3 linked regions of the Arabidopsis thaliana genome follow. The protein of the gene in region 1 interacts with the protein of each later gene in a pairwise test. Each region holds a gene or a part of one and is shown on either strand. Other genes may lie near its edges.

The links. Proteins that work in one complex are often made in the same cells at the same time.
Region 2: the proteins of MAP70-2 (region 1) and AT2G32650 interact in a two-hybrid assay, tested with the Arabidopsis thaliana proteins (one large-scale study listed by BioGRID).
Region 3: the proteins of MAP70-2 (region 1) and AT1G20770 interact in a two-hybrid assay, tested with the Arabidopsis thaliana proteins (one large-scale study listed by BioGRID).

Annotation. Positions count from the first base shown.
Region 1 is NC_003070.9:8,759,499-8,768,627, forward strand, and holds MAP70-2 (microtubule-associated proteins 70-2), read right to left. Parts: upstream 3,972-9,129; 5' UTR 3,936-3,971; coding exon 3,494-3,935; exon of another isoform or gene 3,420-3,493; coding exon 3,334-3,419; intron 2,843-3,333; coding exon 2,777-2,842; intron 2,690-2,776; coding exon 2,519-2,689; intron 2,421-2,518; coding exon 2,250-2,420; intron 2,166-2,249; coding exon 2,010-2,165; intron 1,922-2,009; coding exon 1,775-1,921; intron 1,661-1,774; coding exon 1,589-1,660; intron 1,501-1,588; coding exon 961-1,500; intron 851-960; coding exon 663-850; intron 546-662; coding exon 503-545; downstream 1-502. Other genes in the region: LpxC1 (UDP-3-O-acyl N-acetylglycosamine deacetylase family protein), read left to right, coding at 8,083-8,184, 8,286-8,594, 8,782-8,988, 9,078-9,129. UniProt on the Arabidopsis thaliana protein: Plant-specific protein that interact with microtubules.
Region 2 is NC_003071.7:13,847,693-13,854,188, forward strand, and holds AT2G32650 (RmlC-like cupins superfamily protein), read left to right. Parts: upstream 1-3,296; 5' UTR 3,297-3,444; exon of another isoform or gene 3,445-3,679; intron 3,680-3,827; 5' UTR 3,828-3,854; coding exon 3,855-4,274; 3' UTR 4,275-4,296; downstream 4,297-6,496. Other genes in the region: AT2G32640 (Lycopene beta/epsilon cyclase protein), read right to left, coding at 1-55, 136-249, 333-400, 533-617, 718-751, 917-984, 1,065-1,193, 1,280-1,426 and 7 more; AT2G32645 (B3 domain protein, putative (DUF313)), read right to left, coding at 4,297-4,393, 4,695-5,167; RLP22 (receptor like protein 22), read right to left, coding at 6,205-6,496.
Region 3 is NC_003070.9:7,212,907-7,220,260, reverse strand, and holds AT1G20770 (coiled-coil protein), read left to right. Parts: upstream 1-3,363; 5' UTR 3,364-3,612; coding exon 3,613-3,780; intron 3,781-4,058; coding exon 4,059-4,176; intron 4,177-4,298; coding exon 4,299-4,445; coding exon of another isoform or gene 4,446-4,528; coding exon 4,529-4,578; intron 4,579-4,668; coding exon 4,669-4,756; intron 4,757-4,839; coding exon 4,840-4,916; 3' UTR 4,917-5,246; downstream 5,247-7,354. Other genes in the region: SAUL1 (senescence-associated E3 ubiquitin ligase 1), read right to left, coding at 1-1,210, 1,507-1,816, 1,913-2,449; AT1G20760 (Calcium-binding EF hand family protein), read right to left, coding at 5,488-6,066, 6,317-6,675, 6,774-6,842, 6,955-7,069, 7,160-7,231.

The DNA of each region.
Region 1 (9,129 bases):
GATTTGAAATCTTCGAGTACTTGTTGTGATGTGATTTGTTCAAATATATCAAATCATATATTATATATCAGCAAACCCAAAATACAAACGAATAAATCACACAAAGAGTGCAATAGAGTAACAAACAAATAAAAGGAATCAGAGGTACACAAGCTCTAGAGAAGCCAAATACCAAACCTATACACCAAAAACAAACTAACTCCCGAAAAGAGAGATGAAAATGTTAGCCAAAATGTCAACATCTCTCACTCTCTCCCTCGGCTTTTCTTCTCCTCCCTCTAACCACTTTAACACCAAATCTATGTCACAAACTCTCTTTCTTATCTTTTTACTAGGTTATAGGTGTGAGGATGGGATTATCAGCATGCTAAGTTATATATGGTGATACAACCAATCACATGAGGTAAACAAAAACAAAGTAAAAGCCATGATATAAGGTTAAAACAGCTGAATAACAAGAGCCAAGGACATTCTTTTACTTGTTATTTTCTTGAATCTCCCTTCACTGGGTACTCTTCGTTAACCCGCCACTTCGTCCAGCAGCTCTGCGCAAATCCAAACTCCAAATTTAGTTTGAATACCAAATTATGAACTAAGAAGTATATAGCATTATAGCTAACCATGAAATGTGTAATACAAAGTGAAAAACCACATAGCTCTACCTTCCCGCAAGAATCTGGGCGGTGTTGGATGGGCTCTTGCTATTTGAAAACCTTTTGGCTCTGGCGTCCTGATCTTTCTCCACACGCATTGCAGCAACTTCTTTTTCCATTGCAGCTACTTCCCGTCTCATCTTCTTTGCTTCAACCTCCATTGCCTTTGTTAATGTTTCCACCTTCTTCGCTAGCATCTACGAACATCAACGTATCATTACTTCCTCCGTTTACAACAAGAATGTTCTTCTTTAAACAAGATTAATATGGCATAAAGAAACAGAACTTAAAGAAACAGAACTCTTACCTCGATGGCATCATCTTTGTCTTTGAGGCTTTGATCCTTTTCATTAGAGGCTTTCCTCAAAGAAACTACTTCTTTCTGTAGTAAATCATACAAAACACCAGGGACACTGTCCTCAGTTGCTGCTTCAGGGTCTTCACTTTGTGGCTTCTCCTCTGAATTTTCTTTCCACCCATTACCTGACTCTGCTTCCTTAGAGTCATCAGTAGCCTTGTTGAAGGAATAATTCCCAGGTCCGTTTAAAAGTGCTTTGCCTCTATCCACGGATCTTGTGCCTCCATCAAATGACTTAGATGTTCCTTTAGCATTCTTCAACACCGAAGTTGAATTAATAGACAATGAATGCCTCATCTGAGATGCTGGAGCTTTCTTTGATAAAGCACCGTTTGATGTAAATTTTTGTAAGTTTTCAGCTCCACCAAGCGACTGCCTGCGAGAAGGTCCATTACTCATGCTTCTTGCCTCGGGTGTGTTCCTGGTGGCGCTGCTTGAAGTTCCTCGAAGTGTCTCCTCAAGCACTTTAAGCCGCAGTTGAAACTTCTCCTGAAATTGCACAAACAAAATATATTACTTCTTGTTCTGTGTAACAAGATCAACTGAAAGAAGCTGACTAATGGATAAGATTTGTTACTTTTAACTGTGCCTCGGATTTTGCAGCCCGGTCTGTTATGGCGAGCTTATCACGAAGTTGCTGCATTTCTCCCTGCAAAAAAGTTGAGGATCAAGAAGTGAGAATGTAGATATGGATGGGCCTTGCTCACTGCAAATAATTTGCGTCCTAAGAATCTAGGAGAGGGGCCATCATATCAAAGTAAACCTGTAGAAACCTTCGTTCTTCGAGCCATTGCTTCACAGGCATCACTTTATCATTACCATCTTTCCACTCATTTGCTACCACAGTGGCAACTCTGTTTGCTGTAACCTTTGCACGTGCAAGCTCCCGGTCAAGAGTTTTCCGCTCTTCCTGAAAGACAAAAACAAGAATTATTCCTACATCAGTAGGCAATTGTTGTGACAAGAAATTAGAGACTTTATGAAGTGTGTTTAGTTACATTCATCTCTTGAAATTTCCGCTGGTAATCCCTCACGGCATTTGCAGCAGCACCACCTGCAAGAACAGCCTCTTCTAGCTCTCGTACTGTCTGAGTAAGCTTTTCCACTTCAGCAACCTTCTGCCTATGCATTCTATCTAGAATTTTGTTTTCTTCCTAAAACAGAAAATAAAGTTAATCAGATTGTTGGCAAATCCATAGATTAAGTAAATACAAAGAACAAGATGGCGACCACAGAACCTGACAGATTTCAATTTGCTTCATTAGCTCCTGGTTCTTATTCTGAAGATCATCAACCATAGCGGCTTTTGCCATGGCAGCTTCAACGGTCCTCTCAGCTTCAAGTAAGGCAGCTTCCTTTGATTTAGTCAGACGGTCCAAAGCCCTGTTATCTTCTTGAAGCTTTCCAATCTACACAGATACAAGAGATTTGATCAGTGACCTCATAAACTTTCAATATCCCATATGAAAGTAAACAGCAAGCAGTTAGACTTAAAATGACAATATACCTCTGATCGTGCAAGCTTAAGTTCAGCTTCTAATGGAGCAAGGATGGCTTCAATAGGAGGCATGTCATCATCCTTTTGAGCAGCATGGACTCTTCTTAAAGTGGCTTCAGCAGCAAACTGAGCAGCCATTGATGCTTTCTTTTCCTCATTGATTTTCTTGATTTCTAGATTCTGCAGCAAGGTTGATATCATATGTCTATAAGCTTAAGAAACGAAAGGTGAACATCATCGAACCAAGGAAAGATTATCGAACAATACTTTGCTTTCGAGAATGGATTCAGTCAACTTGAGCTTCTCATCCAACTTAGTAAGCTCCTCAGTAAGCTACAACAACAACAAAAAAACATAGAGGAAACTTCATTCCACAAGAAGAGAATGTGTAAATAAAAAATCCCACTGTTAAAAACATAAAAGTCAAGAACAAACACATGATGTTATAATTGATCAAAACTAAAAGGCAAAGTTAAATTCTGAATGTTCTTCTCCAACCACATTGCCCAAATACCACACTACGATAAATGCACCTAAATTCATTATAAATTATTTCTTCAACTAACAAGGAAACTAAGACTTTGTAGTAAAATAAAGTGACCCAGATGTGAAATTCATCAACCATTATTTGATTGGTTGAACCAAAAATGTAGAGATTAATAATCGTCCCTGAGAAATTGCTAAATGTGTGAAATTTATCAACCATTATTGATTGGCTTAACCAAAAATGGAGATAATTTACCAAAACATCAAGAAATGATTAAGAATTGGTAAAATGTGAAAAAGCTTCAGACAAAAATAGCAAAATTCAGACACAAACAAACCTCTTCAACAGCTTTCTCTCTTTGTCTCTCAGACAACCTAAGCGCTTTGATCTCAGCGTTTGCTTCTCCTAACTCCCGATCCTTATCTACATCCCCCCAACAACCAATAATCAGAAACCGAATCGACAAAAAATAAAAAAATCGAACAGCATTATCAGACCTCTAACTTCATTCTCTAGTCGATTAAGCTCCACTTTCACTGGATCCGAGCCATGAAGCAAAGTAATAAACTCATTATCAGCCGCAGCGTCGAAACTCGGCCTTATTGGTCTCCTCTTCGACGAGCTTTTACCTCCGCTGCTCTCTTTGTAAGACGCCGACACCGTTAATGACGGATACGTCGCCGAAGAAACCGGCGGTTGTGGAGTTACTTCATGTTCAGTAACCGTCGCCGATAAATCTCCGTCACCGGAAACATCCGACATCTCCGATCTGATTCCTTTGTTGGATATATATACAAAAAGCACTTCCAAATCCAAATGCCAGAGAGAGAGATTGTTTGAGAAAGTGAGAGAGAAGAGAATGAGTAAAGAGAAGAGAGATTTATAAATAAATATGCAGTTACAGATTTGACAAGACAGCGAGAGATGATGACGCAACATTTGTATTAATTCTTAAACACTAACTTCAAACATGTTACTTTTTCTGATTAGTCAATAAACTAATTAATTAGTAAGCAAATTAGACAATTAAGTAGTAGTACTATGTTTTCTACTATTTTTCTTTAGTAGCTTACAGTGAATTTTGTCGCTTGGATCTCTTCTAATATTGTTTATTTCAAAAAGTTAATTCTTGGTGTGCATCTTTATTACAAAAAAATAATAAACACAAAAGTAATAATGAGAAATAAACCTGAGTTTTTTGTAGCAGACACTTAGTTGAATGTTTATTGAGTATTAATGTCATGGAATTGTTTCTGGTATTTTTTCTTGTGATTTATTTAGTTAGTTGTGAATTCATCTTTTGATTGTAAGGTAGATAATTAATTATTACAGATAAAATATGTTGACTTGGTCAATATGTTCAATTGTCTGATAATTAGTAAGGAAAAGGTATAACTAGTAATTAGTGAAGATTAGATTTAAATGCTTTGCCCATGAAAAGAGGGAAAATGTTCGATGTCCCAAATATCTTTGTTTCGCTTTTTCTCTTTTCGAGGGATAATGCTTCTTCTCTTTTTTCTCAAGTAAGGTTGGTTGGTTCTACTTCTAATGGACAACAATAAGAAAAGTATATGAATCTTAACACCTATGACCTATTCTACTCATATTTTAGAATCCTATTCTTAAAGATCACTTGAGATTATTAGCCTAAGTTAGGAATAAATAACTATATGACTATTTTCATATATGTATTTGTTCAATAGAAGCATGTTAACCTTGTTGACAACAAAACATTTGTTCCACCCATTAAAATTATATGTTTATATAGGTTATTTTAGTAAAGTGGTTAAATGCGAGTTATATAGGTGGGTAGTTCAAATGTATAAAAACAGGATGGTGTCTGAAACTTTTCTTTAAATTTACAGAAAGAAAATAGATACTTTTCCCAGATACAAGAAGTACACATTAAGCAGCTTATACAGTTTGATATTCCTCAAGTCGGAAATTCTGCAATCTTTACTTAACAGGTATTTTATTTAATCAGTATTCCGTACTCACATGCTTCCACTACAACGAGACCTTTCGATAAAATATAGATCTATTTAGACTATTATTAAAATTTAAAAGTAACAAAGACAACGAATATACTAAACTCAGATTATATTTTCCAAAACTATTACTAAATTAAGAATATCAATACGTACACTAGATATAGAAATCGGAATTAGGTACGTTGTGATCAATTTCAGCTACCATAAACTAGTCAATTGTAGTGACTAGTGAGTATGTGGACCTTGGATTCATATAGAGTTATGAGATTCGGTTTAACGTATCATGCGAATCTCAGTGTCTACTAAATGCAAAAGGAACAAACGCATATTATAGATGATAATACGTGATTGGACACATCACATAGTTTAAGGCATTACATATATCGATATACATAATTAAATACGTATTACTTCTATGGCGTGTAGTAGAAAGACTAGCTGCATATGGCACCTAATTAATACACATATGGTTCATGTGAAATGCTGGATATGTATATGGTATACCACCACTTTGGTACCATAATGCAACATCTAAATTCGAGAAACGTACTTTCTTATGAATACAACGTTTTGGGCATCATTTAGGGAGAGATGAACTCCATTACCCAAAAGTAAAATTATTCTCTCATATTTCGGAGACGTTATATTTGAAGTCCATGCCATTTTTTAACCTCGTTATTTTTTCATGATAAACTTTTGTACCGCCGACTAAGTACTAAGTTTTTGATACCGCAAACTCTTAACTGTTTTTCAAACCACTGATTTTTACGACTTTATTATAGTTTTACACATAAATAAAAGTCGTCCATGTAATTAAGTATGTAACCATATTTTACCGTAACGTACATCACCAAATAAATCTGAAAGGAGAGAGGAGGATAAAATAAAGGGAAAAAAAGGAAAAAGGGTAGCAAGGAAGAAAGCTGCGTGAACCCATGTGCCACTTCTTTGCTATGCCTTGAAGAATCAGACAAAACGAGTGGAGTCTAGAGACTTTGATCCTAATACCACTCCTTAATATATGCCTATCCTATCATTATTTCACAACGCATGTTTACTTTTGTTATGAAATATAGTTTTGTTTAAAGGGTGGTAACGTAATTTATGGGTTCCATTAGGATTGTGTTTTATTTTCTCTCCTCATCCTCATGCATGTAAGAATTTGCATTTTTATAAATATATACTATGAATTCAGTCCAACCTTACAGTGTGAACAATTTAATTAAACGAAGCATAATCCTAAAAGAAAATAAAACTAAAAAAAAATAGTTAAGATGGTATAAGATAATTTTATTAAGTTAAGATGTTGCACTTTTCACTAAGTAAATCAAACATTTACATAGTGATTTGTCATAATGTGCATATTCCATTTTTTCGGGTCTTTCATTTCCATATTCCTCAGCTCTTTCATATATTGAAGATTGAAGAGAATAAGAAAGACGCTTTTTATAGGAAACGAATTAAAGAGTGTTGACTTGCCGTAAAAGTAACTTAAATTGTTCGTCGCCTGAGCATGGATTTATATAAACGTGAAGTACTATACAAAACCCTAACCAACATTTGATCAAACGACAATGATGTCGGAACTTCCAGAGCATTTGTTAGAAGAGATACTCTACCGCGTTCCAGCTATGTCTTTGAAACAGTTAGGGTCTACTTGCAAAGGATGGAACTGTTTATTCAAGGATAGGAGATTCACAAGAAAACACTTGGATAAAGGCCCAAAGCAGTTTCTGATTCACATGTCTAAAGGGCTTAGGGTACGCTCGATGAGTGTCGATCTCCATAGACTTCCACATGTAAAAGTCACAGTTGAATTTACCCTAATCAACCCTAAATATCCTAGTTGTCTAGATCAAGATCAATTCGAGATATATAAAGTCTCTCACTGCGACGGCTTATTGTTATGCGTCTGCGTCACCAAGGAGGACAATACTTGGCTCGCGGTATGGAACCCGTGTACTGGTCAAACAAGGTGGATTCAACCCATGACTTATATGACAACTATACTCTCGGATCCTACCAAAATAATAGCTACAATATATTGGCACACACTGGTTTTGGCTACGACCACGAATTCCAAATTTATGAAATTAACTCCAATTCATGGAGGATTATTGATGCCACTTTGGACTTCAAATTAGGGTATATTGGTCGTGGCGTGTCTTTGAAGGGAAAGACTTACTGGATTGCTAGTGGTGAAGAAGAGAAACGGCTTGGCAAATTCTTAATCAGTTTTGATTATACGACAGAAAGATTTGAACGTCTATGTCTTCCGAATAAGTATCCTTGTTATGCAACTCTGGCTCTATCCGTTGTTAGAGAAGAGAAACTTTCCATGTTATCGCAACGCGGAATTAAATCAAAGGCAGAAATATGGGTGACAAATAAGATTGGTGAGACACAAGTGGTGTCGTGGAGCATGGTCTTAGCTTTGGATTTGCAGCCTAAACGTTGTATTGGGGAAAGCGGAAGTTTCTTGGTCGACGAGAAGAAGAGAGTGGTCGTGTGTTGTGATAATATTAGAGACCAAGGAAAAACCACGGTACACATTTTTGGAGAGGACAACAAAGTGAAACAAGTGGGTTTTGAAGTCGGATCATCTCTGTAATGTATGTTTTATTATGTTCCAAGTTTGACTCAAATCTACCAAGGTATCACAGGCAAAAGAAAAAGGGACGAATGATCATAGTGTTTGGTGTGGATCTTGGAGCAACTATCAGATTTTTCAATTATGATAAGTTTTCTTCTCAATTTCAATTAATCGCTTCTTTATGCCATAATTTAGAGGCAATTGCTGTAATATTTCTAAATTTTTTAGGCATTCTTTACTTTGTACTTCTCCTTTTAATTATATAGGTAGATTTGATGATAATTAGAAGATTAAGACTTCAAAAATGGAGATTATGTGAAATTGAGAAAAGCATCACACAAAGAAAATGGTTTTTGGTGGAACAATTGGGATATTTGCATAACATGAATTTTGATTCCGGTTTACTATACATTATTTGTTTCTTGATTCCGGTTTAGTATATCCTAGTACTTACTTAAATCAATAATCCGGGCATGGTTAAAATTAATCAGACGTTGAATCAATGAGACTCCCCGTCACCGTCAAAGCCACTAAGCCGTCGTTTCTCGTCATTTGGATCCGATACTCCTCCGCCGCGTCGTCGCCGACAGTCTCCTTGAATCCAGTAAACCTCTCTCCCGCACACGCTTACATGTATATGCGACTTTATTATCCATTGGAATCATTTTGAGTGTGTTTTTTTTGTCTTGGGGTTCAATACTGTAGAGTGGACGATTACAGCAAACTCTCGCAGGATCTGTGGAAGTGAAAGGAAAATCTCTGCACTCCGGTAAGTTCTCGACGGTGAAGCTAAATCCGGAGATCGCCGGAGCTGGTAGGTTCTTCGAGTTTCGATCCAGATTCATCCCTGCGTCGATTGAATTTGCTCAGGAATCGCCTCTTTGCACGACGCTGTTGAAAGATGAGCTCAAAATCCGAACCGTTGAGCATTTGTTATCAGCTCTTGAGGCGAAGGGAGTTGATAATTGCAGGATTCAAATCGAGAGCGAAAGTTCCGATGATCGAGAAGTCGAGGTTTGTTACCTGAATACATACATTTTGAGTAATCATAGGTCGAATCAATGTCTCGTATTGTCTATTTTGACTGGATTTGTATGCTATAGAGATTGTCAACATCTTGCTGTGCAGTGTAGCTCTTAGTTTTATAGACTTGGTACACTGGAGGAGATGATGAGTGTAGGCAACACTAACCAAGTGACAGGTCCCTATTTTTGATGGATCAGCTAAAGAATGGGTCGATGCGATACAAGGAGTTGGCATAAACGCGGCTCAAAACCATGATGGTGAAAGTGTAGAGAAGATGGTCGCACATGTGAACAAGCCTGTGTATGTTTGCAAGAACGATACTTTTGTTGCTGCATTTCCGGCTCTAGAGACTCGGATCACTTGTGGTATCGACTTCCCACAGGTTCAGTCTAATGGCATTTTGACTTATTTTCTGCTTGTACATAAATTGTTATTGACTTGGTCTGTTGTGTATGATGATGAACTTTACAGGTGCCTGCTATAGGCTGCCAATGGTTTTCTTGGAGACCTATCCATGAGTCTT
Region 2 (6,496 bases), on another chromosome or scaffold:
GACCAAACTGTATTATATCCTGAAGAAATGGTCTGAGAACTGGATCGCCCAATCTCTACAAGAGAAATATGAAACCATTACTTAGAAGCCAAAGTTCGAAACTCTCATTTCCCGGTTTAGAAAAGTGTACTATACCTGCATGCAACTGAAATTTACATGGAGAAGCTCATTGGTGAAGCCACGGGAAACATCGAGCTGTTGCTTTGCAGACATTGCTCTTTGAAACAGCCATGATGCGCTCAAGTTTGGCTGTCGTTCAAAAGCCAAATGGATTCAGTGAAGTTAATAGCAGGGAGAAAGATATTTAGCTGAGAACCACAAAGCTATATTACCATATAAGGATTTAGCTTTGATAAGCTGTCAGAGTCCAGAAGATCTCCATCTATTGCGTCATAGATTCCTTTTTTAAGTTGAACAATAAGATTGTCAGAAAATCTGAATATTCTGAAAGAGTTCATGATATAAAAAGTTGTATAATGTTCAATGAGATATGGAGACAGCAAGTGTACTCTCAGAGAGTGAGTGTATATACCATTGGACAATCTTCCAAGGTGTCTGGTCAAACTTCCAAAACCCCCAAATGAAACAGGTGATTGAATACCGCTAGCATCACCAAACTGAGTAAAAAATTTGTAAGTAACTTTGATTATTTAGTTTATCAAATTATCAATCCGCAAACTTATCTTGGAAGCTTATATATAAATGAACCAAACCAACCTGTAGAACACGATCAAATGCAGCTGGCAACGGACTGGTGACAAGTCCAATCCAACAGGGTTAGATATGTCAGAATGCAGCAGTATTATTGTACGAAACTGGTAAACAGAATTATAATATCAATGATAGAATTTCAAACTTCCAGAGATGATAGATATAGAGATACAGGCATCAACGGAGTTTCTTGTCAAAGTCGTACCTATTTCGGTATGTAGGAAAGATTCCGTATACAACTCTCAGTATTTCCAATTCATCAAGAGAGACTCCCTTTGCCAAAAGACATCAGGAAAAGAAAGAAAAAACGAAAGTTGATGAAAGATTGTGATATAAGATGGAAGGAAACTCACTTGGTATTTTGGCATCAGTTTCCAGTATTCTTCGAGTAAATCCTCTAAACTCGGAGATGTTGATTGCGGTTCAGTGTAAGTGAACATGTAAGTAGTGCGGTCTAATGGACCAGAGCCAGCCGGGAAAGCCTTAAAGCAACAATAAGCATCCTTATATTAAAACCATTTCTTTGTGGTTATGGGAATTGTGTTAGAATGGGGACAGATTTTTTTACCTCCCAAAAGAGTTGTACATTGGAATCTGCAACTCTGGTCACCGATGAACTGCTATATATAACGTCGCTTGATGAGTTCTCTTTAAACCCATGAGCACAAGATCCAACAACAAGGCACATTCCATCTGGCTTTCTACCACGTTTGATCTTTTGTAGCAGAATACATAACAAGAAAAGTATTATGCAAGGGCAATACACAATTTGCTCAAGAAAAGCGAATCAGTAAGTTTTATTTTTTTACCACCATAACTAATGCAAATGAAAATGTAAAAGTAGATATGTTCTTAGGCCAAGATATGACCTGCTTCAGAATAGGAGAAAAGTTTCCCATGGCATCAATAACGAGACGGGAAGATAATGTGTCACCTTTAGAAAGTTGCATAACCTGTCAATCAAAATGTTCAAACAATTCATATCAATAAGCTGAATACTCTTCTTAGGTACAATGTTTTTGGAGAAAACGCCAGATAACTCACAGCTAAATCATTGTAGATGACGATGCTCGAGAGGCTGGAGTCTTCTAAAATGACTCCACCAAGAGAAATGAAACGTTGTTTTACAGTTTCCACAAGTTTGGCTGGGCTGTTTTAACATACAAAACGAAAAAACAAACAAATCATCACTTTCAGAAAGTAGCAGAACACAAGGGGATTATTCTTTTCCTATGTATTAGAGAATAAGAGAAGACAGGACTCACGAAACGCCGAGGTTAAGAATATCTTCAACCCATATATCACCAAGATTCTCAAATCCACATCTGTTCTGCATTTGTTCAAGATAACCTTAAGCTACATGACTTTTATAAAGCATCAAGATATTGCTTACTGAAGAGAAGCTTTACCGGATTGAACTTTGCAGCAATTACTTCTTCGATCTCATCTTCGGTTAAAACTCTGACTTCAGTCAGTTCTTTCATCTCTTTTCTTGAGATATTCCATTCTTGATCTCTCTAAATCACCACAAAACCAAAAAGCTTTAACAATAGCTTCTCCAACCAGACCTCAACCACAGCATTAACTAGAAGCTTTACCCCTTTGATTGCATTTCTCTCCACCACAGCGACTCTTAAACCCTTGGCACATAGAGCCGTGGCTAGAAAAATCCCCAAAGTACCCCCACAAACCACTATGTCAAAGGTTCCAACGAGATTATTCCCCATACTATAATCTTGAGAAAAACCAGATACCCTAGAAACAATTTGCTGAGTTTCTTGTGGTCCTGCAAAGACTAACATTCATCACCAAGAGAAGCATATTTCTTAATTATCTGAATGGTTACCAAAAGACTATTGTTCTTATTACCTGTTGGTTGAGTACATATGTTGGACCAAATATTGTCAAGTCTCTTCAAGGCATTATAAGAGTAAGCACCACCAGCACCTCCAGCTTCTCCACCAACTGAAATACTCTCCATTATCTTCTGCATATCGAAATGATTGAACTCATACTCAGCTAAAAACAACTCATCGTGAAGTTAAACATGCTTATGCAATCTCGCTTAAAGGCTCTCAAGATTCAAATACTAAAACAACTAAGAAAGAACAAAAGCGATGAAAATTTCTTTTCCTGTGCAATGAAAATCAATTATCAGTTATCAAGAGCAAACTTTCATCACAATGCAGACCACAAAATCATCTCTAATCCTGATAAAGTTCACAACTTTTTCTCATTTCCCCCCAGAGGATGCGTAATTGAGCAGAAAGCTTGACCTGTGTAAGAGAGGGAGCCAATTGTGTTTGAACGCACACTGTCGTCGAAGCTCTCCTTCTTCCTTGGTTTGTCTGAGCCCTTGATACGGAACTAACGAACCCATTGAACTGATGAATTTGCAGAACCACCATGACAATGAGTTCCAAAACAAATGCTATAAAACCAAGAGCGAACTTTTGATAAACAGAGATAAAACTTGTGAAGAGAAAACTGGAAAGATTGTGCAATGTGTCAGAGAATGTGACACGTTTACAGTCTTACAAAACAAAAACATTTTGGGTTACATTAACTCAAAACAAACTTCTGTTCTAAAATTAAAACAAATCTAAATGTTAGTATCGTTTCTGTAATATTTATTATATCCTCTTCTTCTTTTTTACTGATTCATCAAATCGGGGATCGGATAAGCCTGACTGCTTCAGGGTTTAAGGGTTACTCTCACTCACACTTCCGCTGGTAAGAAATTCGATTTCGATGCGTATAATCTGTCTTCCGCTTTTTTTTTTGGTTTTGAAATCGACAACCTTTTTTTGCGGACTTGTTGGGTTAAATTCGTATATCTTCAATTTTGCGATGAGTTTTCACTTTTCCAATCGAAATAGCAAATGGGCATTAGCTAATTTCCTGAATTGTGAGTTTTTGTGTTACGCTGTGTCATTGATTCATATAAGCTATTGCAAAGAGAGTAAATGATAAAGCCTTCAGCTTTACAATATAATTCACTTTTACACACTAGAGTTTAGAAATTCACCTTCTTTCTCTGTTTCAGGAGTTACAAGACTTTAACACATCACAAAGAATTTCGATATGTGTTATTTAAAGTTCATTGTGGATCTCAGGTTTCACAAGATTGGATAGAAGCAGCCATGGCAAGTCTGATAATGACTACACCATTCCCAGGTTCTGTCACTGCATGTAAGAAGACAAATAACCTGTCTGTTCAGAGAGCCTTTAAGGTGACTTGTATGCAGACAGAGAAACCATTAGAGGAGCTATACAATGTTAAAGTGGAACGGAAAGTTTCACAGAAACGGTTGGAGGAACTCGGGGTTTCGAGATGGTCAGTTTGGAAGACAGGGAAATGCAAATTGCCATGGGATTGGCAGGTGGATCAGTTGGTTTACATTGAACAAGGAGAGGTTCGAGTAGTTCCCGAAGGAAGCAAGAGGTATATGCAGTTTTTAGCTGGAGATCTTGTTCGGTATCCGAAATGGTTGGAAGCTGATCTTTTCTTTAACGCTCCTTATATTGAGCGGTATTGTTTCAAGGCCTATGGTGATGATTGATCCAACTTAGACTTTTGAGTTTTTAGTAGAGCCAAGAAACTTTACACTTGTTGTGTGTTGTTGTAGCCTGATGGATCTTTTTGTGATAATATAAGAAAACAAGTTCTCTCTCCTTTGTTCTGCATTTTCAATGCTAATCATAAGTAAACATAGGCAGCATCAGAGAGAGATAAAAAAAAATCAAACATAAAGAAAGAAACTCAAATCAAAACATCATATTTGGACAAAACCCCACTATTTCATCAACTGAACAAAAAAAAGAAAGAAAACCAAGCCAGATTTGCCTGAAAACTAAATCCGTTTTACTTGTGGCTTAAGCAATAAGCAGAGTTATGATTAGGAAGAACTAGAGCTGCTCTCTCCTGAACAGCCTTGGCCAGAGTGGCTAGAATCTACTGCCGAAGGAATGGGTAACGGTACCTGACCAGATTCACCTCAAGTAGAAGCACCATCGCCGCCACTGCCAGATTCTCCTGAAGTAGAGCCGTTGCTGGAATTTTTGGGGTGAGAGCAAAACAGAGTTTGCCTGTTCCAGATCGGAAAGACCAGAGAGGAAAGACGTCTTTTTCCTTAAACGAATTCGACTTGTTAGCATCAAGCACATCGTTCCAACCTTTAACAAAGACATAATTCCAGTTTCCCTTCATCTTCCACTTCCTCAACTCAAGCGCATGCTTATTCATCCGAGGATCCACCAAATTCACAGGCACACCATCGTCACGAATCTTCATGGCATTTTCATGTATGATTCTTGTCTCGTCCTCTGTCAAAAAGTCCGGAGTTTTCACTTGGTTAAAAGGGACTTGGAGACGTGCTTTACCTTTATCGAGATCAGACTTAAACAATTCCCTCGTTGAGATCAGCTTCGGATTGTAGCCATTCTCGTTCCTCATAACGTTCAAAAGCCAATCGGGTGGAGTCGTTTGAATTTGGTTGCACCTCTAAAGGACTAACGACTTTGCCTTTCTTGGGACGTCTCTCTTCCACCTTAACAGAACAACGTTTTTTCTTGGACTGACTGACACAAGATGACATAGACGACTGTGAATCCGGATTAGGGTTTTCTAGTACGGAAGTAATTGATCTACGTTCTAAGAGGCTGTCAAGCGGCAACTCTGCGACAACTTCGTACATCAACTCCTGCATATTAACCCGCCCTGAGTTAACCCTAGGTTCCTTCTTTTTCGATTTGTCTTTCTTAGTCTCGTACTCTAACGACATGACGGGCGGATTCAACAGTTTAAAGCTTTTGTCTTCGTTAGTACCGTACTCTTTGTGCACATCCCACTGACGTCTCGAAATTTGTTCCACCTCAAAGCGACCAAAGGTTTGGGGCTTCTGAAGAATTTCACGTAATCTCGTCAAACATCTCTGCTTGGAAAAACTACGATCATCAGATTTCATCATCTTGATCAAGTCTCTTGAAGATACAGAACCGGAAATTATAAAACCTAGAAGGAAACTCGAGTTCTAGCGAAAGAGAAAAAGGTTAGCTTTGTAGTCAAGGAACGAAGGTATTCAGGTTTTCCTTTTCTTCATAGGGAAATTGATTTTATTTTGCGATTAAATTAATGAGAGTCGGTGAGATTACAATTTTTACACTCCTGGGCTCTAAATTAAGCCGCCTAATAATTTGTTATCCTTAAAGGACGAACTACCCTTACCCAACAAATGTAACATATGTTTTCGTTACTCAAAAAATTTCACATGTAAAGAAATACTTGTTCTGTTTCTTATGTTTCCATAATAAAATGAAGTAGTCATGAATACGTTGTTTGATATGGAAGAAACTAATTTAATAGTTTCGGCTCTTCTGTTATAAGATCATAGTTTAAATGTAAACAGAACATGCCATAATTCTGTTTTTGAGTAACTTTACTTACTCATTGATCAATTTACAAAAAAAAAATGAAACAGAACAATTTTAATCCTAAGGGTGTCTGATGCCTCTAAGCCTATTCTGACCATTATTCTTGATGAACCACCCTGGCTTGTACAAAGCAACAACATGTCCAATTGCCAATCCAAACAACACCCCTGGTCCATACCCTATTGCCGCTGCTCTCCACTCCAATATTTCTTCTTCTTCTTCTTCGGGCTCTTGTGTCGATGGTGCGTCTTCTCTTAAACAGCTTTCTTCAAGAGGAAGACCACATAACCCTGAATTTCCTTCAAATGAGGATTTAGGCTGCCCTATGATTTGTGTTCCTTGTGGTATTTTA
Region 3 (7,354 bases), 1.5 Mb from region 1:
ACATTTTCATGGTCTAATAGAGCCACTAATTTCTCCACAGCTCCTCCTTCGACAAGGCAAAATGTTTCTCTTAATGAACATATTCCCTGGTGGATCTTGCACAGCCCGTTTACAACGTGTGGTTTTCTCACACACGAAAAGATCGAGCCACAGTAGTTCACAGGAGGCGGATCAGGCATCCGTGTCAGCTTTATAGACTCTAGTGAAAGATTCTCTAAAGCCATGGCGGACACCATCTGTATGTTATCTTGCCCGTTGGATTGGAGCAGATGAAGGAAGAGTGACGCAACATCGTGCTCACGGCAAAAGTTAATGGCCCGAGCCTCTTTGTTGAAAACAAAAGTAATCCTAGCAAGTATACGCACAAGTCCTTCCAGAAAAGGATTCACAAACCTCATTCCCTTGATATCCCCTTGGCGGATTCCAAACACTTTGGATATGATTTTTTCAAAAGCACCAACTTCTAACATTTCCTGAGTAAGACCCAAATCCCTATCTGGCAATTCAGCTAAGAGCCCAGCAGCAGCAGCCTGTTCTTCAGTGATTGGTGTCTTTTCTGAAATGATAGCAACAAGGCTTCCGAGTTGTCCAGCAGTGCCACATAAGGCCTTAGCTAGTTCTTCACTCATGAATGGGGAAAGGTTATGAAGAAGCTTTATGGAAGCCAACCGCAAATCATCATTCTCTCGGACCTCTATAAACTGAACCAAACTGATGATTGCACCGGAGGTTTTAATTGCATAAACAACTTTTGGAACTGTTTTTGGGCAACTGGTGAGTCCAACAAGAACCTCCAACAGCTTGCACTGGATCGCTGGACCTGTGTTGCTAATTAGATGGAGCAGATTCTCCACTCTGTTCTCTGAAACAAGAGTGGCTTTGTCAAAGTCATACCCGATGTTCACTATGTTAGCAAGAATAGTGGCAGAGACTTCTTTCAACCGAATTGGAAGGTTGTTTGGCCCCACATAAAACAGATCTTTGATAAGTGGGGGGAGAATTCCTTTGCTGATCAAGACCTTAGCACTCCCTTCGAACGATGAGATTTTGTTAAGAGCTTTCAAGGCAGCTTCCCGTTGGGGCATGTCACCACTTCTCATAAGATCGACAAGAGAAGAACCCACAGTCTGAGCCACAAGAACCTTCACATCGTTATTTAAGGGAAGCTCCCCGAGAAAGGAAGCCATAGAGAGTTTTGTTTCAGGTGAACCTGCAGATTTCACATGTGGTGTCATTATTCATACAAGAAATTTGCCATATAACAGAGGAAAATAATGAAAGATTTGACCATCTGGGTAGAAGAAAATTGACTCTTCTTACAAGCGAACATGTAAAATTCCTAGAGCAAACAAATTCTAAGGCAGAATACCATAACACTGTGATGCATCCGAACAACTGAAGGAAGAATTTTACCAACTGAAGGAAGATGATAACTTGTTTTATGCAAATGAAGTAGAGAGCGTAATTGTTATATTAAAACCAAACAAAGAAAAGAAATTCTTTCACCTTCAAGGAGTTTGCCTAGAAGAGGCTGGAGTCTACCATATGAAGCCATCTGCCTAACAATTTCCTCTGACCTCTCCATATTTTCCAAGGTTCTATCAGCTTTCTCAACAATTGAAACATTTTCTGAGTTGCTGCTTGTCAGACCAACCAATAATATTAGTGCTCCATGAATGGAACCAATCTTCTCGCACAAAGCTTCTGATTTAGAGAGCTCAAACAGCAAGGAAACAGCTGCCTCCCTCCCCTTTGATGGCTCATGTGATAAGAACTTAACTAGTGTACGCACAGTGTCCCCTTCAGCTACTATCGCCTGCAAGATGCTGAAAATTTAATTAGCACCCGCTCAATTTCCCATTAAAATGCTACACTAAATATTCAGCAGAGATGAAAAGAAATCAGATTCAACCTTGCTCTCATCATCTCCTTCAACGACAACTTGCAGAGTTTGTAGAGCCTTATACCGCACTCTATGGCTAGTACTTTTTAACATGTCGATGATCATATGGATAAGCTGAGAGTTGCGTACACCATGCCTATTTGATCGGATGGTCCTGCAAATCTGTCGCACATGCATCAAAGCTTGCAAAATATCTGTCTCAGCATTCCCTAAAAACAGTGACTGACGAGCAATGTCAAGCTTGGCAGCATCATTCCTGGATCTCCACTCTTCGATAGTGTTACGCAGAGCTATGCTGGCGCTTACATCAGTGCTAGTCAGCTCCTGAGATGTCAAAGGGCAAGAAGGAGGTCTCCCACTGTCCCGACACTCCTTGAACCATTTCTCAATGGCTTCACGCTCGAATGTTCGACCATTCTCTAAAGTGACAGGATCATGCATAACCTCCTTTGTCAATGGGCAGATGAATGCTTCATAGATATGATCTACTCCTCGCTCAAAATGAGAGCTATCATCTGACTGGTCACCATCCGAGCTTCCAACCATCTTAATCCTTCAAACTCACTGCAAATGTACAAGCAAATACCTCATTGTTATGAAACATAGGATCCTAGATGAAAACCCACTTGGATACATCAATGCAAGAGAGTCTGGTAAGAAAGTGTCGAAATTTGATAGTAAATGAATGAGAAAGTTTTGGAAACACAAAAAGGGATAGTACCACAGTTTGGTTCCCGGATTCTTTCACAGCCAAGGAAACAAAATTCAAACTTTCAATCATAACTATAACCTAAAATACGAAAAGTAACAGTGTCCCAAAATCATCACTCCCATGAACCCTTATATAGCAAGATTACCAAATTTAGCAATATTCGTCAAAAAGATAAAGAAGAGAAACAACGTCTCATGAAGCATTTCAAAAATACCAAAAGAGATAAAAAAAAAAGCACACCAGCCTGTTCCAGTTGAAGAAGCGCCTCCTCAAAGCTATACAGAGAAGGGAAAAGAAAAAACCAAAGTTGATTCTTCTTCTGAAGTTGACAATTCGAAAACGACCACTTCTTCAAAAATCTCCTTGAGCTAAAAACGCGCGAGAAAGTGTGAGTTCTTCTTCATCCATGGATCTAATTGCAAGCAATCGAGCTTGCCTCCTACTAAAATCTCGAGCAGAGTTGATTCTATCCCCGTGCGAGAACGAGAGAGACAGGTAAAAGCGAGAGGAAATAACAGAGAAGAAGATGGGTTGAAGAAAAAATCGAATTTTTAAGAGAAAAGCACGAAAGGTTGACTAAAATCGAAAAGTCATGTGAGAGAGAGAGATAGAGAGAGACGTGGAGCCACCAAACGCCAACTTGACAAACTGAGACAAACAGCCTGGCGCTGTGTTCACACACACTCGACTTGCTCTACCCACCCACCCATAAACATAACCGGTTTGACCCGAAAGAGGTAATCTTTCGACTTGGGCTATTGGTATTAATGGGCCTTTATTAATTGGATATTACGAAAATAGCCTCGTTTGATCCGTCTTTGTTTCGATCGCTTTACGTTGTCTTCTACTTGGGCTATTGGGCCTTTACTAATTGAAATATTACGAAAATAGCCTCGTTTACTCGAGAAATTGATCTGTCTCTGTTTCGATCGCTTTACGTTGTCTTCCTCGTGTAAGCTTCGATTTGTTGATTCGCGTGTGTTGGAGCTAAATTTCGATGGCGGAGATTTACGAGGAAGGAGATGAATCAGTGGATGTGAATAAAGAATCAGAAGTGAAAACTGAGCTGGGAAAAGGGGGAGGAGATGAGAATGTTTTGCAGTTTCTAGATTCGTTGGATGGATATTTAACGCTTATGGATTCTGTGAATTCTAAGCTTCGAGAGGTAATTGGAATGATATTTGGTGTATTGAGCTAAAATGGGATCTTATGGGAATGATTCTTATGTTCTGATGTATAGATGACTTGAGATATTCTGTGTTGAATTGAATTGAATCTGGGATTAAAAAGGATTGCGTGGGAAACGTTTTCGTTGATTATCTAGCTATAGTAGCCATGAGGAGAAACTTTTTTGTGGATTCATATCACTGATATGATGAGAGTGAGAGTCTGCTGCCTTAATTAACTTATTTGGTATGGAACTGAAATGTGTTATTTTTGCAGGGATGGTTTGATCTAGCTAGTGCTCGACATTCTATGGGAACTTTACGCATCAACAGCACTCTCTTAGATCTTAAGTATCATCCCGCTTCTTCAACATTGCAAGTGACTGACCAAGATGGTAAGTTTGGCTTATGCTTTGGGCGTTTGATAGTTCAATGGTTTACGTTTATATGCTATGAATTTATGTTTTTTTTGCGGGGAAGCAACTTATATACAGTGTATGTCTATGGACTCTTGTAGTTGAATCTTTGGGATCAGTACCTCATTTTGCTTTGTCCAAGTGGGCTTCCAAGGGCGGTAGCAGGAAAGGCAAAGACTTCTCTACTGATACAGATTCGGAGATAGGCTCACCTCTCAGCCCACAGCTACGACATCGAGGAGTTTCTGGTAAAAAAAGACTCATCTGTTGGTTATTCTCTGCCCTTTGTTTGTCGGTGTTTCATCATCTCTTGCTTTATGTAATTCGATAGAAGAGAAACCATCAGCCAAGGATGAAACCGTTTTAGCAGCTGATGAAGAGGTGAGCAATCATTTAACCGTCTGCAGAAACTCTACTTGTTTTCAAAATGTAGGACGATGGTTTTACTAATTCGAATGTGTTGAGCTCCAGATAAAGAAAGAACGGGCAAAATCTCTGTCAGTATTTGGAGGTCTAGTCTCTCCTAAGCTGCGTGGCGCTCAACAATCATTTGAAACAGGTAACATCCTCATCACCACAAGTATACTCAAAGGAAGATTCCAGTTTACAACTGAAACTCTTTTTTCTCTCGTCTTTGGACAGCTCTTGAAACTCTGGTGGAAATAGCCAACATGCGTGCATCGATGATATCTGCCTTTGAGCGGATCACAGAGAAGTGAAGTTCCTTGGTAACAACTGATCCTGAAATGTGCTCAGTGGATTCAACGGAAACAGAATGGAGCCAACCTCAAAGACTGATGTTACATTGATCATAGCAGTTTGATGCTGCGAAAATCATATCTTCTTCGAGTCAGAGGGTTAGAATGTACCAATGCATTAGCTCGATTTTCAATTTTGTAGCTACCACCTTCAAGTGTATCTGTTTTGATTTGGTTAAATGTTACCAGAAGTTCTTACAAGACCTCGAGCTAAGGATATATCAAAATAATAAAACATTTTGGAGAAGAGAAACAGTAAAAATGGAGAAAAATAAAATCATTTCATTGTCCTTTAATCTCTTATCCACGACGAAATCCTCAAATATTTCTTTCATATAAAGCAAATGAATTCATAACATAACAGAGATACAGTAGGAAACCAATACAGAGACAAACTTTACAAATTACAAATAGACTAACGCTAGTGTCTCATCCAAAACCAGAATTTGGTGAAAAAATTATAATTATGAAACAAGCACAAGTTCATCAAGCGAGGAAAAAGGATTATAAAAGGGAACGATAGTAACCGAGGCTAGAAGGAGTTCCAGTTATCTGACCTTTTCGTAGGGCTTTCATCCGAAGAGACTTTAAAGGGACCTGTGGAACCAAACGGGTCTGCATCATCAAACGAGTATCCATGGCTACCACTGAAATCCTTTGTACTATTCATAGAGTCGAATCTTGATAGCGAGGGACCACCAAAGTCTTTGCTACTGTTGATGGAATCAAACCTCGAAAATTTCTCAGCTCCAGTGACGTCTCTGGAACTGTTAATTGAATCGAACCTAGAGAAGGCAGCTCCACCAAAGTCTTTGGAGCTGTTGATGGAATCAAACCGAGACAGTCTCTCGGGCTGCGAAGAAAACCCGGCGCCTGCTTCACTGGTGTTGAAGGAGTCGAACCTGGAGAAGCTATCAAAGTTATTATCTCTAGCTGATGCATCGCTGAACCGAGGTGGAGAGTTCCCGAATCTTGAGAGTGGAGTGCTGGGGACTGAATCATCAAATGCAAATTGGCTCTTTCTCTGGGCGCCAAAGCTTCTTGAACTTGGAGAATCTGCTCTTGCTGTGTTTCCACCAAAATCGTCACCTGATCCAAAGTAATCTCCATCCTGCCAATGTTGATATTGAAAATGCTAAGCTTGGTTAAGACTCTGAATAGATAACTAAATGATTCAGCATACAGAAGGTAAATGTAACATCGCAAATCTGAAAAGCATGAACTTAATACGGATTTTCAAAATCTTGTAGAAATTAAAAGATCAGTTCAATGTCTATTCGTCACAACTGAAAGATTTGATTTAGTATTTTGATAGATGGATTGATGTGTTAAAGCGAGAGACACTATGTTTCTTTACTAACCTGGCTTTTTGATGCATCAAATCCCCAGACTGAATCCACATCATCGTTAGTGTCAAATGCACTTGCCCAATTCGAGTCATCAAAGAATTCAGAATTCTTTCCCTGAGAATAATCTGGAGATGGGACCTCAGTAGCATTCCTAGAGACAGGACTGTCTCTAGGACTTCTATCTTCACTGTGAGTTGTCCCATATTCACTCTCATGGTGGCGGTCTGAGGTTTCTGAAAAAGGGCCATAGTTGTCCTCTACATGGGTCGGCGAATCAGGTGGCCCACTACCATCATCCACCGTACCATTTTCCTTCTCACCAGACGAGTTTTGCTCTTTTGATTTGTCAAAAGTGATCTCATTGCCAAAACCTAACAGTGGGAACATTATCAGTCAATGTCCTTGTTATGTGCTTAACTATATATATCTAAGTGTATTAGTAAGAGAAAGATAGGAAAAAACATTGTACCTTCATCTTCAAACTTATCCCATTCCTCATCCCAAAGAGCTGCACCTTCTTGAATTCCAGGTTGCCAGCCTGTAAGTCACAACATAGCAAATTCCACATAAGTTGTTTGTTTACAAAATACATGTTATTTGCAATCATCTACAACGAAAGCAAGAAGTCACAAGGCAACGGAATCATATACCAGCTGGAAGGTCTACAAGGGCCTTCGAGTTAACCTCCAACCCGTGTTTCTTGCATCGTTCAGTTAAAGCCTTCATCAATTCCTCAAGATCTGATTGTATTCTGTCAGCCCGGACCTAAATGTGCCCAGTACAGCATCAAATCAGGCATGTACAGCAGATACTCGACAGTTAAGGCATCTCGTAAGCATATAGAATAGCATGTACCTGAAGGAGACCATCAGCACTACCACCTTGCTCCATGTTCACAATTGCTTGACTCAACTCCATCTTCCGCCCCTGGATGGGTTAGCAAAGCAAAAGTTCAATAAGTAACAAATTTCCGTAAGATGTGTTACAAAATTATTCAAAGCCCCTTCACCAGCAAAGGTGAAAGAAGGGAGCATTGGGCCATAGAATAAG